Linked DNA regions of Tribolium castaneum. The protein of the gene in region 1 interacts with the protein of each later gene in a pairwise test. Links are inferred from orthologs where the notes say so. Each region holds a gene or a part of one and is shown on either strand. Other genes may lie near its edges.

Region 1 (2,867 bases):
TTTCATTTTTATGTACAACAGAAAAAAATAAACGCAAAAAGCATAAAGGGTGAAATTATAAATTGTTACGCCTTCTGAAACCACGTCACAGTTACAGGTATAGTGATAAAAAAGGTGATAGTATCTCTAAGCTTTGATGAATAATGTAAGTAATTATTGTAACACTTCGATAAGGTTATTTGTTTTATGATAAAATTCTAAACGTATTTGTGTATCTCATAAATTGTGTAAAAATGCTGCTAAATTAAATTTGGTAAACGCCTATATTTGAATAAAATATTTAAGAAATTAGTCTTTGGGCACTTTATTACTGTTTGCTGGCCTCCTGCAAATTATGACCTCTTCCGCTTCCAGTTTTTCTTATTTAATTCGAGTTTTTATTGATTCTTCATAAAAACTGTCATAAAAAGCAACTCATTACTCATATTTAGAAGATCAGAAAAATTTCCACTTATTCTAAATTGTGTTAATCGGAGAAAAAGGACAAAGGTTTGAAAGATAAAAAGGCGTCGCTAGTAATATATAGATTTATTTGTCAAATTTAAAGTACATTAGGTGAAATAGATTTGTCAATAGAACGAAATAAAATATAAAACATAAACGATAGTACGAGTGAAAAAATCGCGTTTATGCCAATTTCTATACAAAGAGGTGATTGCAAAATGTCAAGATGCGATTGCAGCATTTAGGAACCAAAGAAAAATGATTCTTCTACAACATTTAATGACCAATCACAAAGTCTTTGGCTGGGCCACTTTATGATGCACATGGAAATGCAAGCAAGATAATTTAACAATAGTTTCTTTAAATAATACACCAATCACTGGTCTCGTTCCTAAATAAATTAATAATTGCGTATATTTATTTACAATAGAAATACGACCAGTCAGTCAAAAAGAAAACTCCTAATCAGTCAAAATAATCACAATTTAATTAAAAAAAAATGAACAAAACTAAATAAATATACAAAATAATAATACTTCAACACAATGCGACTGACTGTCTAGCAGTATTAGAGAATAAACGTTACAAATGCATTAGTTGAATAAAAATGAAAAGAGGTGTCAATTACTCGACTTTATTTCTTTTTAGTTGTTGGGTTTCTCTGAGGCGTTGAGGGACGTCCTGAGTTCACTCCTTGGTATTGATACTTGGCTTTCTTTTCCGACGGCTTCAAAATCTACACAAAAAATTACAAAACGAACCAAAACACAAAAACCTAATCCTCACCTGAAAAGAACACATTAACGTTTCATCTACACTCATCATCCCTCCAGCGTTGTCAAACTCGCCGCAATAATTCGGGGCTGAGAAAAGCGTGACTAGTTGTCTTTTTGCGAAAAATTCGTACCCATCCTCCACCACTTGATGGGCGCGACAGATCAAATCTAGATCGTGACGGTTCAAAAATTTACTAACGACATCAGCGCCGAAAGTAAATGACACTCCGCGGTCGTTCTCACCCCAACCTTGCACGTCTTTATCAGGGTCGGACCACAGCAAATCGCACAGCAGACCTGGTTTTTGAATTAAATCGAATAAAATACCAGCAGCCGATGACTCCGAAATTAGGTTGGCAACACAGACTTTTTCATTTTCAGTGGAAGCACAAACAACCAAGGTGTTAACAAACACCGATTTTTCAGGTTTTTTCGTGCTTAAATCAAACATAAAATAACGCAAAAAAATGATTTGTTCACTTGCAAATATATAACCGAAAATTCTTCTTAATCTATATTTCGCAAACAAGTGGAGGTTTAATTTCAAAATGCAAAAAGTTGGCTTTATTTTGATGAATAAAATACAGAAATCATACACACAGGTCGTTTATTGTAAGAAAATTATTAAGTCGGTGATTTAAAATTTACATTTTTAAGCAAATATGCAAATAATGCACATCTTTTAATAGAATTAGTTCAACCTAGCATACTTTAATGATGGCCTTTCTCTGTTGAATTAGTTCCACATATCAGCCGATTTGTGAAATAAACACGTGCTTTTTTTCGATTTTAAGCAAGAAATTGTCCAAAATAAACTTTCAGTGTCTTCTATAAAAGTTTACTAATTTGTAAGCAAGGAATCATCCAAAATAAGCCATTTTCAGTCATGTTTCAAAAGGTTTGTGGTGCGAATAAAGCGACTTCAGGTTTTCGACAGCGAGTTTTTAACATTTTTGAGCAAGAAACCGTATAAAATAAACTGATTTCAAAAATGTTTAATTTTGCGTTTCCAGCCAGTTTAAAGAAATTAAAGTTATTAATAACACGAGTGCGAAAACATAAGCTTAAAGTTCGGGGGCTGTCGAGCGAGAACACACTCGAGAACTTCAAGCGTTTTCGTATAAATGTTATCAATTTTTTTTCGTTACAACATTTTAATTTAAAACACGTTGCTATGAGAAGCGTGTTTTAGAATAGTAAAAACACGTTGCTATCGGAAACGTGTCTTAAAACAGTGTTTGTAATATTCATATTAAAAAGAAGGCTTAAAAAGGTACCAACAGAAAATAGAAATTTTTCAGCGAGTTTTCTCATTTTATAACAAGAAATCGTCCGAAATTATATTATTTATCTTTAAATGGGTGCTGAAATCGTTGTTTTCCTTGACAGAATTTTTGACTCAGGAATCAACTCAATCAACTCAAATAATTTCAACAAAATTGACCTAAAGCCTACTTTACATTTTTGGCTGCGAGTTTTTTCGTTTTTAAGCAAGAAATCTACCAAACTAAAGTACTATTACCAACTGGTGCCCAATAGTCGTTTTTTTAACATTATAATAAAACGAATTTAAATTTTAACTGTCGAGTTTTGATATTTTTAAATACATAAAAATCAAATGATTTATTACTAAGATCTCTATTTTTT
Region 2 (4,119 bases), on another chromosome or scaffold:
GGCCCCCACATCGTGTTTGCGCAAGAGGCGGGACAGGGATTTCAAATCGTTATTAAAAACAGCTTGGTGGAGAGGATAACTGTCATTTTCCTCGGCCATTTTTCAATTCTAGTTTCCTACTAACCTAATTGGGGGGTTTTAAGTTACCAACGCAAAAAAACTGTGACGTCACCCAGGATGCTCACCAGTTTTTCAATTTTTTTAATAAAAATTATAAATAATTTATGCGTAAGCGACTAAAAAAACTAGTTTTTGTAGTAATAAGAAATAATAATAATAAAACAAGTATAATTTTGGGTAGAAAACAAGTTTTTATCAAATAACTACGAATGTGTTAGGATTTATAAAAATACGTTAGGGTTGTAATAAGAAAAAAATGTTTTTTTTTAATTTTGCATTAAATTATATAAAAATAAACAAGGGTTGCCATTTGAAATAAGCAAAATAAAAAGTTCTAGGTGTGGAAAAAAATTGTAACAATTCAAATCAATAAAGATATAAAACCAATTTTTTTGAGTTTTATTTTTAACAGTAATCCCGGAAGCAATTAAAAAAAACTTTACCGACATGAAAGAAGCTAGAAAGGCATCCTAATAAGCACTAACAAATAATAGCATGCCATTGAAAAAAAAATTATTATGATGTCATACTTCTTTGGGACACTCTGTATAATCAAAAATCTTCTTCTAAAATACGTCCTACAGTATAAATAACGTCTGTAGAATATCGAAAGTCCAGCTTTACTAATAACTGAGCTACAGAAGACAGAAGCTGAGCTGGACCACCCTGTATATGACGCTTGAACGATTAAAAAGTGTGAAAAACATGCCGTAGCGTTTAATGTTTTCACTCTTTATGCGTTAAAAATGTGGCGTAACGTGTGATTTTTTTGTGTAGGATGTAGAAAAAACGTTGTATGCATCTCGTAAGTAAATAAATATCTTTTTTTAACTTGTAAAAATTGCTGAACTGTTCCAATTCGTTAAAAAAAGTGTTACGTTACGCACTTGTTGCATAAATAATATTTTTACAGTATTTTAAAAACTAATAGTGGCACAGAAATCTGCGTTTGCTGTTAAATATTTTAAATTTTACTCTAAACGTGCAAATTTTTTCAAAAAAAAATTTTCAATTTCTAAAAATAATTATAAATAAATTAACTAATTAACTAATAGAGTTGCCACAAAAAAATTTTTAATGTCACGAAAGTTTCTACTGCACTCTAACAATTTAAATAAGCATACTGGATGACGTAGTTCGCGCGCTTTGCGTCTATTGGCCAAGCCTCAGCACACAATCAGTGACTTTTTTGTTACCAACCGTCCCCAATGTCATTCGAGTCAGCTGATTGTGATATTTTAGTGTGGTTATAAAAGCCAAAAAAGTGGGTTTTTTGTTTATATTTATTTATTTTCAAATAGTGCAATGAAATATCTGGGTTATTTAATAACCGGAAGTGAGTTGCGACCTAATTGCGACACTTGAGGCCAAGCCCCCTTTTTCAGATGGATAAATACACGGTGGATTTAGACCAGGTTTTGAACGATTTCGAATATAGCGAACTAACCGACCAACACAGTTCAAACCACAAGCAAAATTTCAACAATTTCAAAAACTCGAATGTCAAACATTCGATCAACAACGTCTTTCACAGCCTGAACGAGTATTTAAACACCGATATTTCACCCAAATGTGAGCCGATTTTGCCCGAGACTGGCGAAAATTCCGCCAATAATGCGCCCGAAGAGGTCACTCAAAGTGACGAAAACCACGTAATTGAGGCCGAAAACGGCGAAATTAACCACGTAGTTGAGGAAGAAACTGAAATAATCTCACTAGTAGAGGATAAGAACGAGGAAAGTGATCAGGAAGAATCTGAAGAAACGGTTGAAGTCGAGTCACGCGACTCGCCCCCGGTTGAGGAAAATCAAGTCGCTTTGGTTGCAACAAACGAGTCAATTGAACAAAAGACTGACGAACCAAGTGACCTTGAGAGTGAAGAAAAGGGCGACACAGGTGTGTCCAAAGTAGGCTTTGATGACGACATTGATTTAGATGAGTCGGAATTGAACCGATATTTGGACGAATTGGAGCAAGAATATGACAATACAACACCCAAAACAAGCGAAGAAGACGAAACAACATCAAGTGTGCGGCCTAACAACCTGCCATTGCCACAACAAGAGGACGAAAAACCGGTCATAGACCTAGTGGGTTGGTACCACCGCCGCGAAAACTTCCCCCAGATTTAGTGACTTTTTTAGGCGAGCCTGGTTCAACTCCCTATAACAACGTTTACGTAAATAAGGAGTTGCCCCAGGAAGTGAAACAAAACAGTGATACTGAATGTTCAACTTCCGCTTCCCCCACTTTTTCGGACATTTCCAGTGAGACAAATTCGTCGTGCACGCCCTCCACCGACACGGTGGAGGAGCCGGCACGGGAGGCGGCCCCAACCGAACCCCCCGAAGGGGGTGCCGGTGACCAACTGGAGCCCCCGCAAGTTTCAGACGCTACGTTGGGTAAACAAGCCCCCGTGTGGATCCCCGATTCGGAAGCGCTCAATTGCCAACATTGCGACACTAAATTCACTGTAATCAAACGTCGCCACCACTGTCGTGCCTGTGGTTACGTCCTGTGTTCGAAATGTTGTAACCTTAAGTACAGGCTTGAGTATCTCGACGATGTGGCACGAGTTTGTACGAAGTGTTACGAACAGTTGGAGAAAGCCGCCACGGTTACCAATAGTTCAGACAGCGAGTCAAATTCCCCCAGATCGCAACCGAATCCGAATAATCCACTTGAGTATTGTTCAACTGTACCACCACATCAGCAAGTGGCAGGGAATGTGGCACCGCCTGCTGTGATGGTGCCAGTTGGGGTGCTTAAGAGGAAAGGGTCGAGTAAAAGGACTAATAAAAGTGTGATGTTTTGCGATGGAATTAGGCCCGGGAGTGATTTAACCAATCTGGATAATGATTTTAATTACAGTGGGGTCAAAGGGGGCGAGAAAAATTTTCCGGTTGTTGATCCGGAAACTAATAGTTTTATACCCAAGGGGGACGATTTGCCCCCGACTGTCACCATAAACAAATCAGGTAAAAGTTGGCCATGGAAGGTACCATTGTCCAATTTGAAAAAAAAAATTATACTCACAATTAATCAAAAAAAATACTGGCACTTAAAGTTGGCTATGGAATTGTGACAGTTACCTCCTGTTACCAAATTAAATTCATAGTCACTGATAAAAAAGTTTGTCCAACTTGAAAACAAAAAATTGATACTCACAATTAATTAAAAAAAAATACTGGCACTTGAAGTTGGCCATGGAAATGTGACAGTTACACCCTGTTACCAAATTAAATTCATAGTCACTGGTAAAAAAGTTTGTCCAACTTGAAAAAAAAATTGGTACTCACAATTAATTAAAAAAAATACTGGCACTTAAAGTTGGCTATGGAATTGTGACAGTTACACCCTGTTACCAAATTAAATTCATAGTCACTGATAAAAAAGTTTGTCCAACTTGAAAAAAAAATTGATACAATTAATTAAAAAAAAATACTGACACTTAAAGTTGGCCATGGAAATGTGACAGTTACACCCTGTTACCAAATTAAATTCATAGTCACTGGTAAAAAAGTTTGTCCAACTTGAAAAAAAAATTGGTACTCACAATTAATTAAAAAAAATACTGGCACTTAAAGTTGGCTATGGAATTGTGACAGTTACACCCTGTTACCAAATTAAATTCATAGTCACTGATAAAAAAGTTTGTCCAACTTGAAAAAAAAATTGATACAATTAATTAAAAAAAAATACTGACACTTAAAGTTGGCCATGGAAATGTGACAGTTACACCCTGTTACCAAATTAAATTCATAGTCACTGGTAAAAAAGTTTGTCCAACTTGAAAAAAAATTGATACTCACAATTAATTAAAAAAAAAATACTGGCACTTAAAGTTGGCCATGGAAATGTGACAGTTACACCCTATTACCAAATTAAATTCATAGTCACTGATAAAAAAGTTTGTCCAATTTGAAAAAAAAAATTGATACTCACAATTAATTAAAAAAATAAAATACTGGCACTTAAAGTTGGCCATGGAAATATGAC
Region 3 (3,435 bases), on another chromosome or scaffold:
TGACCATCACGATTGAATTTAACCGCGAGTTCAATGGAGTGATTTACTCCAAAGGCTACTACAACATGCCTGAATGTCGCTACGTGAACGAAAATTCCGAAATGACGAAATACCGCTTCACCGTCAGTTTGAACTCTTGTGGGACTGAATTTATCAACGCGTTTGATACTCAAGGACAGTCGTACCTGGAGAACGTCCTCGTGATCCAAAACGAGCAAGGGATCCAGGAGGTTTGGGACACAATCAGAGCTGTGAGGTGCCTCTGGGAGGGCAACCTGAAGGACTCCCTCAGCGTGGCGCTCAGCGTGGGGATGCTAAGCCAGGAGATTGTGACTTTCAGTGGGGACACCGCCATGGCCAAGCTGGACATCCAACTGGGCAAAGGCCCATTCGCGCCCCCGGCCAACGGTTTGGTCAAAATCGGGGAGCAAATGACCCTTGTTATCTCCGTGACCGGAGACCCCGGTTTTGACATCCAAGTCAAAGACTGCAGGGCTACGGACTCGACCGGCGACCGCGTGTACCCCCTAACCGACGAAAACGGCTGTATTCTCAAACCCAAACTATTTGGCGCGTTCCAAAAAACACGAAACACGGGAAATACCGGCGCTTCCATCATTGCCTACGCGTTTTTCAACGCTTTTAAATTCCCAGATGTGATGGATTTGATGATTCAGTGCAACATTGAGCTTTGCAAAACCGACTGTCAGGTGTGTCCAGAGCCCAACCAGCAAATCGAGCCTGGGAGGAGGCGCAAACGTGACCTTTCGTACTATAATAACACTGACGGGGTCACAATGGGGAAGCACCTGAGGGTCGTTTTGGCGGAGGATTTGAACGATATTGGCAATACTGAGGCCGCGTTTGAGGGGGAAGTTTGTATGACGACGCAGAATTTTCTACTAGTTTCGGCGATTTTGATCTCGCTACTCACTGCCAGTAGTGTACTAAGTGCTTGTCTCTGGTTGAAGAACCAACGGATTGCTCACAAAGGGTGACAACTTTACCACAATCCTGCCAATGTAGTTCCGTCCATTAAGTTATTGTGACTCCAGTATTTTATTTAAGTTTTTTAATTATCGTAGGCCCATATTTATGTAAATACTTGACTAATAAAGTAAGAATTTTGTAGCGTGGGGTTTTCTTTTATCAAGGTTGACGACAACGACAGACTAAATTTGTTTAATAAAAAAGCATAATTTTTTTGTATGGGACTTTATTGATTGAAATTTACATAATTTGAGGCGTAAAACTAGTAAATCATTACGATTCATTGTAAGCGATTAGTTCATAATACATATAAACGAAAAAAAAAAATGGTCTGGGTCAGGGTTTGAACCCATAACTTTTGAGTTGGTGTTGATCAGTTGATGATTCCTCGGTCATAAGCACTTTCGTACTACATAATAGCAGGTTTTCTCAAATCAATGCGGTGCCAAATCGGTACAAAAAGTTTAAAACAGTGATTTTATAACAAACAAACGATGGGCTTATTATTTGGGTGCGTTTTAATGTCGTTAGATTGACAAATAACGAGGTTGTTTTATTCGGCCTTGTGCAACTTCGGACGTAGCGTTATGTCACCTGCCAAAAAAGCGACAAATGGCAAACCATTATGAGGTGCCAAATTGGTAAATAATCCTTGAAAAATTGTGTTATTGGCCCCTGAACCCCTCACTTATCATTTCGCCCCCTTTTCTGTCACACAATCCACAAATCGTGTGTTTTTGTGTGTTGAGGTTATGCTGTTTCAGGGCAGGCAAGCCCCCCGTGGGTTTGCATTTGGACGTGCTAAAGGGCGACAAACTAATACAAAAATTGATGATCGACGACAAAAAGTGTTACTTATTTGGACGCAACGCCCAAATGAACGATTTCTGCATCGATCACGCGTCATGTTCGCGGGTTCATGCAGCCCTCGTTTGGCACAAACACTTAGATCGGGCGTTTCTGGTGGATTTGGGGAGCAGTAAGTGTCACGTGTGCGCAACTTAGGGCTTTTTTGTGTCAAGACTTGGATAATTTGCGTTGTTTTAGCCCATGGCACCTTCATAGGATCATTAAGACTTGAGGCGTATAAACCCACTCAGTTGCCTATTGATTCTAGTTTTCACTTTGGGGCGTCCACGCGAAATTACACGATCAGGGAGCGGCCCCAGACGGGCATGCGGCCGATCATTGACGAGATCGAAAAGGCGGGCGAGGAGACCGAGGGCGGATTGCTGGGGCTCCCCGAGACCGAAACGGAACTCGATGTAAACCACCCCAACCAGCGAAGCTGAGAGCTTTACAAAAAATATTTTTTTCCATAGAATTTGACGGAATTTAACACCGCCCACAACCGGCGGATATCAATGCTGGGAATCACCGACGACACGGAAAAACGCAACACCAACCGGAAGCGCAAACGCCAAGTCGTTTCCTTCAACGAGGACGAAGAGATCATAAACCCTGAAGATGTGGACCCGAGTATCGGTAAATTCCGAAACTTGGTCCAAACCACCGTTGTACCTTCAACCATCAAGAGGGCCAAATTCGCGGCTGAGAATATCGGAATCCCCACTGAATACAAAAATCCCAAAATCCTTCATCCCTCCGCCCCCGATTTGTACACAGACCTGCCCCCCGAATCCCACTCTCCAACCAGTTCAGGGAATTTAAGCATTTACAGTTCGTTAAGTTCACGCCTTGGAATGGTTTTACCCAATCCGGCGCCAGATGTCGACATGGGACAGAACTTCGCCCCGCCCACTCCCTTTGTCCCGCCCCAAGTACAAATTGCGGACGCCATGGAGCCCAAGAAAAAGAAGTATGCCAAGGAGGCGTGGCCTGGCAAGAAGCCCACGCAAACGCTATTGGTCTAGGATTAGGTGTAAGCTTTTGATGTAATTTTCTCAAGGTCATAGATTAAATATTCAATAAAAAACGAAAAGTAGTTTCTTTTATCGAAAAACATGGCGAAATAATTTCTGAATTCTGGGAAACAGTTTCAAACTAACACCAACTTGACAAAAATAGGTTTTTTATTTCACTACTTGATGGAATGCAAGGCACTCTCGATTGAAATATCAATCAAAAAATTAATATTTAATAATGGACAATACCTCTGCTGGCACCTTCTCCCGGCCTTTGAGCCCCTCGAGCTCCATTAGAACGAGACACCCTGCGACTTCGCCACCTGCCCCTCGCACGAGCTGGCAGGCAGCCCCTAGACTGCCCCCCGTGGCTAACAAATCGTCCACAAGCAGGACGCGTTGCCCCTTACTTATGCTATTTTCCTGAATTTCAACAGTGTCATGACCGTACTCGAGAGCATACTGCGCCGACAAAATTTTCCCCGGTAGTTTACCCTTTTTCCGAATTGGAACGAAAGGTATGTTCAAATCAATCGCCATCAACGGCCCCAAGAGAAACCCCCGAGCATCCAATCCCACG
Region 4 (4,135 bases), on another chromosome or scaffold:
ATCGTTTAGAACCAAAATATGCACTGTGCCAATAAGCGAATAAATGTTGATTAATTTTATTACAACTATTTTTAGTAACACGACTCGGGAGGGGTAATACATCACTGGAGATTACATAAATTCCATTTTTAGCAAAGTGACACTATTGCAAATCCAACTTTCTACTTCAGCTTTGTGAAAATTTTTAATCTAAATGTTACAGGTTAATTACACGCTGCATTTACGATCGATGGTGATATATTGCAGTTAACGGTGGTTTAACGTAATTTGCTCTATCTAGAATTGGACAAAGTGTCACAACGGGATTAACTGGAAAATTACTTAAACACCCATAATTTCTTATTGCCCTAACTGTCTTAATTGTTACCACTCTCACACAGTGCACTTATTTCTAAAAATAATATTAATTGTCGCTGTTATACAAACCAATTCCGTGTTTACATAAAATCTAAACACAATGAAAGTGTTATTAGCGCAATCAATAAGGAACTTAATGTCTAGTAAGGTGTCAAGGATGCTCTTTACAATATATCCTTAAGGCTTGAAGTTGATGTCACTGACACAGACAGTCAATGCCATGTATTTGGTTTTCTTGTGGCAAGTTGCTAACCACGAGAGAAATCAAGCTCTTTATCAAATGCATTTCATTTTTACTTTTTATACGCGAAATGATTTCAGCTCAAGATTAAATCCATCATTCAAAGTGCATTGACAGCTATCACAGTCTTTTCTTTGTAATTTTTCAAACGAGAGCCGCTTTGCGCATTTAGGTCGGCAATTAAAACGCAACAATAAAAATGATGTAAAAATCAAATTGCTACATGGATGTAAGCAACGTTAACAGCCACTGATCTTTTGATTTGCAATTTACGACAGAAAAACCAGTATTCCTAGTTAAATTTTATCAAAATAAGTCAATGATTACGGAGCAATAACAGCTGGGAAACTTTTGATAAGAAAATTTCAATACAATCTTAATTGCTGTTTTAATCAAGGTCTGATTTAATTGTTACAAAGGCAGGGTGAGTCAATTTCCTGATTCGTAATTATCTGCTAAAATTTTATTAGGAACTATTATTATTATTAAAAAGCGATTTTGATTCAATTAGTTACGTAAAAATCGAGCCGATTAAAAAAATACAAAGTGTGTCTACTAAGTCATTTTTACTGTATTTCAAAAACTACACACTTTTCTTAAAAACTTTTCTATAACTTCTTATAATAAATTTTTATTAATTAAAAATTTGCATTACAATAATAAATGATCGAAATTTTATGATTTCTGGTGCTTCTGATGTTTATAAGTGTGACTAAAAATTGCGATACTGAAACATTGAGAAACAAAAAAATTAATACTATAAAACTGTGAAACAGAAATTTTGAGACTAGAATACCTGAAAAATAGAGAGAAACTAAAAACTATGTACAATTAAATTATGAATAAAAAAATGAGTACAAAAACAGCTGAGAAACTTAAAAACTAACACCTAAACTATTGAGCTAAATACTGAATTTTTCCAAAATTCCTTATAATAAATATTTATTAATTAAAACATGTATTAAAATATTACATGATCGAATTTTTTTATAATTTCTGGTGCTTCTGATGTTTAATTATCTTTGCCTAAATTTCTAGTTTTTATTTAATTAATTATTTTTGGAGGTTAGCGCCATTTTTTACGTATTTTTTTTATAATAGTTAAGCATCGACATGAGAAATAATGTTTTGTGTAGCGACTTAATACTAATTAATATAAAAAATATACAGAAAGTAAAAGAGATTTAGATTTTTAAAAAGATCGATCCACACTTAACTTAGGTACTTAAGATATTATTAAAAGACATCCACTGAAGTAGCAAACATTCGCAATATCAAAAAGATAAAGAATTTTATCATGGAAATTTTGCCGAAAATTATCTACTGCATATATTGTAAAAACTGAGCATTATTTTTGTATAACCACATTTTACAAATATGTAATAATCGTTTTTAACTTTTTAATAAATGTTAGTATAATTTATTTCTGACTAATTAATCATTGGAAAGACTAGGACTTGCTTCGTCCCTCCAGTGACTACAAAACAATAACAATTTCTAAGATCAGAATGAATGAATCAAGAAGGTAGATGTCAAACTGGTATCGTGACGTCACGAGCAATTATTTTGCCGCTAACTGTACCGAACATCCGATTACAACAGTCCATAAATTACAAACAATTACAGGAACGATTAAAATGACAATAAAAAAATTAAAAAAAAATTGTATGTTACCAACAACTTTTTGGGAAGTTTTGGTGCCAGAATAATTTTTTTTACTGTACAACTCATAAAAAAATTCCTGTGGAAAAAAATACAAATAATTATTATCTCTGATCATGAATTGTAATCTTTGATACACTTGATAACTCGTCGAACGTGAGCAAACACAATAGCAAAAAGTTTGGAAAAGTTGATAAATCTCATAGTAAACAGCGTAAAGTCCGCACTGAAAGGCATTCAACCCTCACATGTATCGAAAAACAACCGGAAATGAGCACCGGAACGCTAAACAAAAATTTCAAAAAACTTTTCTCACCTTTCTAAACAGGTTAGCCGCATTTTTAAGTCCTACACATCGCAGTCGTCACTGAAAGTCCACATGTAATTTGAACGCACAGTTTTATCGACAATAATTCGCACATTTTTTTCGAATTTTCCACATTTTATCACAAAAACATCGCAGATGTGTACACCACAGTGCGTTGGAAGGAACGGTTTTCGGATAAGCTCCACTGCATTTTACGAGTTTACGTTCTTTCACCAACTACCTGCGCGAATCTACCGCGTCGATCAAGTCGCGCGCACCACGGGAGAGGAAGTGAGACCGTAAGGACTTCCGCTAGCTAGCAAAATATATCATTTTCTTAGAAACAACTCCCATTTCTAAAAATCACACTTCCGGTTTTTTTTGGCGAAAAAAATTGTAGTTGTGATGAAGACAATGGTTTTTGCAGTTTATTTTATAATTTACATAATTTTATACAGCCCGTTTCGTTTAAACCCCCACATAAGAAGTATTGAAAGTTATAATAAAAAAATTTATTTGAAAGTTGGTACTCAGCCGTAATCTGTTAAGTTCTGCGCAATAAAAATATTTTCAAGATGGCTAGCAACTTTTTTATTTTGAATAGAAAGCTATGTTTTTCAAAAGGAGTTTTATCAGCTTTTCCTATACCTAAGTTCAACGATTTTGGAAATAGTATTTAAGATTTTTTGAAAATTTTTGAATTTGCAACTGACTAAAACATAAACTATTAAACATAAGTATAGGGAATGCTAGTAAAGATCAATGGAGAATTAGGTTCTTTACGATTTAATGAAATAAAACTAGTGGCATTTCATTTGAAAAAATTAACTTATGGGTGCTTAAAGTTCTGGAAACTTAATTTTAAACATTTAGGGCTTGTTATTATTTCTTAGAAATATGAAATCACCAAAGGAAAGATCTAGGGTTCTTCTTTCAATTGAGCTAAAAAATATTTTCAATTTTTTTTTAAATGGCAGAGTTATCGATTTCTCCCTGTATTTGGCTTAGAGGATTAAAAACTGGCAGTTTTTTTATTTAGGAGTAAAAAGTAATGTAAAAATACGTAATAAAATACAGAATTTTTTTTGTTACATCAGAATATTTCACGCTTGAGCCCAGTATGGTATTTAACTATTTACCCAACTCTGTTGCCCACGACTTTATCAGCATGGTCAGGCTTTGAGTTTGTAAATGTCAAATCGCTACGACAATCAGTCAACTGTCAGATTCTGTGAAAAACTTTAATTTGATAAGAAATAGGTAAACGATTTAATGTGATAAAGGTAGAGTTGTCCCTTTTTTTCGAAATTCTCCATTTATTATTTAAATAGTTTTACTTAACGTTATGGCGATGCAATAATCCCTTGGTTGGAAGCTAAGTTCTTTTATAAAATGTGTAGTTTTGTCTTACATTTGGTGATTTGGTTAATGTAGTGAAATTGTACAAAACATGAGCGGAAAATTAAACTTTGCCATTTTGGCTGGTTTTTGTGCGTCTGCAGCCAGTTTATTTGGAAAGTTGTCGGGGTTGCCTACATTCGAGGTAAATGAACAAAAAGTGGTAAAAG
Region 5 (3,171 bases), on another chromosome or scaffold:
TATAATGATAGGTCGACTTGTTACCGCATGCTAAAAGACCTGTTAAATATACAAATAAGTAAATAATTCGATGACGCAATCCGTTTAGATTGTAATAAAAGCATATCAAGTGCCAGAGACCACATGTTACTAATTTTCGAATAGATTTTTTGCAGTTGTCGAGAATCTGCTTGGACATCTTCGAAGTTTACATCTTCCTCATTGCCGCGTGACAGATTCTACCACAGAGGGCCAGAGTTGTTGCGTGCGTAAGTATGGGAAGTCTGTAAACTTCGAGATGAAAGTGCAGTCGACTCGTCATTTATTTTTATCGAATAATAAAGCTAGCGCAGTAATTAATACAAAAAATATTCGTCAACACTCCTCGACAGTGTTAAAAAATTACAAAGGCAGCGGAACCGGCGATTTCACTGCGCTTGCGTTGTGCAAACATAGTTACCTAAGCTCTTCAGTGATTCCCATAATCCACGCACTATAAGAAAAAGAGCGGGTTAAAAAATGAAAAGCACATAATTAACCACTGAACAAGTTGACCAAACTGTTGTATGTGTAACGAATGCAACAGGAATTCTTTTGCTGAGATAAAACAAGTAACATAATCTTATTATTCGTCACAATTCCGCAATTTGCAAAATGTAATTCGATATTTTATTTATCAAATTGTTTCATTTGTAGCGCTAAAAGGGGCGCAACAATCGAGCGCACCTTGACATTCACTAAATATAATAACAGTTGTGTAATAGGAGCGATAATTGATTTTATGACTGATATTTTCTTTCTTCCACTGTTTGAATATGTAATTTTTCCTTAATTATTTCAAGTTGAAGGACGTTTGGTGGATTTACGAGGACTTTGTCAAGATGTTTAGCCTCCGATCTTGTTTACAAAATAAAAACAGTTTGTAAAAGATTTCTAATTTTAGTTTTTTGCAGCGCCGGTGTTACAAGAAAGCGACATATTCATGGACGCTCTTGCGGCTTCAGCAACGTCGAAAAAAGAGCCCAAGAAGCGGAAACGACGTCCGAGTGTCACAAAAGACACTCCAAGTTCCCCAACAACGCAAGAACCCCAAACACCAACATCGCCCGTCACCTCGCCCATCGGTTTGAAAAATATCGCGGCGCCAAACTTCTACCAGGACACTTTACAAACGGAACAAACCGACGAAAAGGACGAAAACAAGGAAGAAACCGAACGGTCGGGCACCCCGATCGAAGAGGACGAGCGGCCGCGGACGGACGGCGGCCTCAAGGGCGTCCTGGTCTACACCAAGAAGAAAGGACCGAAAAAATCGGTCAAATTCAACGACAACAACTTAACACAAGTGCGCTTCTTCGAACTGGACGAAACCGAGCGAGTGAATGTAACGAAGAACTTCATGGACATGGCGAAGATGGAGATGACGAGCGAGCGCGAAGCGCTGCAAATGTCGCGGAAACTGCCAAACGAGGACATAATGGAGCCCCAAACGATGTGGCGGCTGCCGTACCTGATCGACTTACCCGACCCCCTGGCAGCCCCCGGTTGCAAAAGTTTGGAGAAAGACATACAATTCGCCCGGGAAAAGAGCGTGCTCCAGGCCCTGTACTTCGACAAGCGGAAAATTCCGGATAGTCCGGAAGAACCAGTCCCGGAGACGCACCAAATGAGCGACCCCATCAACATTCCACTTGAGGACGCGGACAGTCAGGAGATGGACCTGCGGAACACCCCCTGGCCGGAGCCGAAGGGGTCGCCGCCCCCCATGCAGGAGAATCTGCCCCCGCAGATATTCTCCAACATGGCGGTGCCTTTCCAGAACTTCCAGCCCCCGGCGTTCCAGGGCATGCCGCCGAGGTTTGGCCCCCAGAACGGGCCGTTCGGGGGCCCTCCGAATATGATGCCCAATGGGAATATCATGGGGCCGCCCCCGGACATGATGCACCAAGGGCCGCTTAACCCGAACGCCTTCGGGCCGGAGAATTTCAACAATCCCATGATGAATGACAATAATTTCCCCATGCCGTTTAACCCCCCGAATATGGGGATGTTTCCGCCGAATAATTTTAATATGAACAGAGGGAGAGGGGGCTTCAGGAGAGGGGGTAATAATGGGCCGTGGATTAGGATGAACGGGCCCGGAAATTGGAACAATCGGGGCGGTGGGGGCAGGGGGCGCCTGTGCAAAAACGTGAAAAATCATGGATATTGTAGGAATATGGATAAGTGCCCCTTTATCCACCCCAAATGAGCGACTTTTGTGGCTTTTAATTCGATAAGTGTTCTTGTGATATAGTTAAGAGTGTAGTTATGTATATACATTTTGTGATTTTTTAAGTGTAGCAGACTTTTTTAAAGTACAAATTACTTAAACGTAAACGTGACCTACATATGATGAGGATGTTGTCATACATTTTAATTTATTCAATTGTGATTTAGCGCTAGAGTGAACGATGTATGTACAGAGTACTATTTCACACCGGTGTAAATAATTATTAGGTATGTTTTAAGATGTAAAGAGTAAGATTTTGTAAAATACATTTTGATGTTAATTTTTCCAAGCAAATTTAATATAATGTTAATATTAATTGAAATGGATATTTATCAGTGACATTAATTTTATACTTAATTTTAAGAGCGGATTATTTTCATTTTTTAAATAAATTTTATAGGCACAGACTTTAACAGTTACGTACGTTTTTCATTATCACAATAACAATAATATGACCCACTTAACACAAAAAACTGGCCAAAACTGGAAAAAGCTCCAGACAAAACAAGGCTAAACTAAGCCGCGTGTTAAGTATACAAATTTTTATTTTAGGCTTCTACATTTAGGGAATTTTTAGTTAGTTGGTGACGCATATCCAATAAAATTTACATATTCGTATTTGCAGTGTTGCAAACTCTGTTGACCAAAATATATTACCAACCGAAACAGTCTTTCTGGATCACGCGTATTATTTAATCTTCAAAATGAATGTTTGCAGAGAATTATTTTCATACATTTATAATGAAAAAAGTAAAAAATAGCATTATCACGACCACACACTAATGAAAACAGGTTCAAACAAGTGAAAACTTGAACTTAATCTAAATTATTTATATCAAGACTTGTAAAATCCGTAAATCAAAGTGAATAACGCCGATCATTTTGTTGAATAATTTGTAAGTTTAATTTAAACTACTGTA

What was found.
Region 2: the proteins of serine/threonine-protein phosphatase PP1-beta catalytic subunit (region 1) and Sara interact in a two-hybrid assay, tested with the Drosophila melanogaster proteins (2 studies listed by BioGRID). The link is inferred for Tribolium castaneum from reciprocal best matches to the Drosophila melanogaster genes flw and Sara.
Region 3: the proteins of serine/threonine-protein phosphatase PP1-beta catalytic subunit (region 1) and NiPp1 interact in a two-hybrid assay, tested with the Drosophila melanogaster proteins (2 studies listed by BioGRID). The link is inferred for Tribolium castaneum from reciprocal best matches to the Drosophila melanogaster genes flw and NiPp1.
Region 4: the proteins of serine/threonine-protein phosphatase PP1-beta catalytic subunit (region 1) and MYPT-75D interact in a two-hybrid assay, tested with the Drosophila melanogaster proteins (2 studies listed by BioGRID). The link is inferred for Tribolium castaneum from reciprocal best matches to the Drosophila melanogaster genes flw and MYPT-75D.
Region 5: the proteins of serine/threonine-protein phosphatase PP1-beta catalytic subunit (region 1) and serine/threonine-protein phosphatase 1 regulatory subunit 10 interact in a two-hybrid assay, tested with the Drosophila melanogaster proteins (2 studies listed by BioGRID). The link is inferred for Tribolium castaneum from reciprocal best matches to the Drosophila melanogaster genes flw and PNUTS.

The regions. Positions count from the first base shown.
Region 1 is NC_087402.1:10,011,070-10,013,936, reverse strand, and holds the end of serine/threonine-protein phosphatase PP1-beta catalytic subunit, read right to left. Parts: intron 1,518-2,867; coding exon 1,231-1,517; intron 1,181-1,230; coding exon 1,079-1,180; 3' UTR 514-1,078; downstream 1-513. UniProt on the Drosophila melanogaster protein: Required for cell adhesion in non-muscle tissues and in maintenance of muscle attachment. Vital for larval development.
Region 2 is NC_087401.1:15,933,889-15,938,007, forward strand, and holds the start of Sara (zinc finger FYVE domain-containing protein 9), read left to right. Parts: upstream 1-1,302; 5' UTR 1,303-1,456; intron 1,457-1,505; coding exon 1,506-2,214; intron 2,215-2,264; coding exon 2,265-3,098; intron 3,099-4,119. Other genes in the region: ankyrin repeat domain-containing protein 13C, read right to left, coding at 1-99.
Region 3 is NC_087396.1:21,737,786-21,741,220, forward strand, and holds NiPp1 (nuclear inhibitor of protein phosphatase 1), read left to right. Parts: upstream 1-1,375; 5' UTR 1,376-1,602; coding exon 1,603-1,631; intron 1,632-1,754; coding exon 1,755-1,969; intron 1,970-2,037; coding exon 2,038-2,255; intron 2,256-2,312; coding exon 2,313-2,864; 3' UTR 2,865-2,932; downstream 2,933-3,435. Other genes in the region: EGF-like domain-containing protein 2, read left to right, coding at 1-998; Aprt (adenine phosphoribosyltransferase), read right to left, coding at 3,081-3,435.
Region 4 is NC_087394.1:36,197,648-36,201,782, reverse strand, and holds the start of MYPT-75D (protein phosphatase 1 regulatory subunit 16A), read right to left. Parts: upstream 2,806-4,135; 5' UTR 2,577-2,805; intron 1-2,576.
Region 5 is NC_087398.1:6,659,047-6,662,217, forward strand, and holds the end of serine/threonine-protein phosphatase 1 regulatory subunit 10, read left to right. Parts: intron 1-932; coding exon 933-2,230; 3' UTR 2,231-2,670; downstream 2,671-3,171.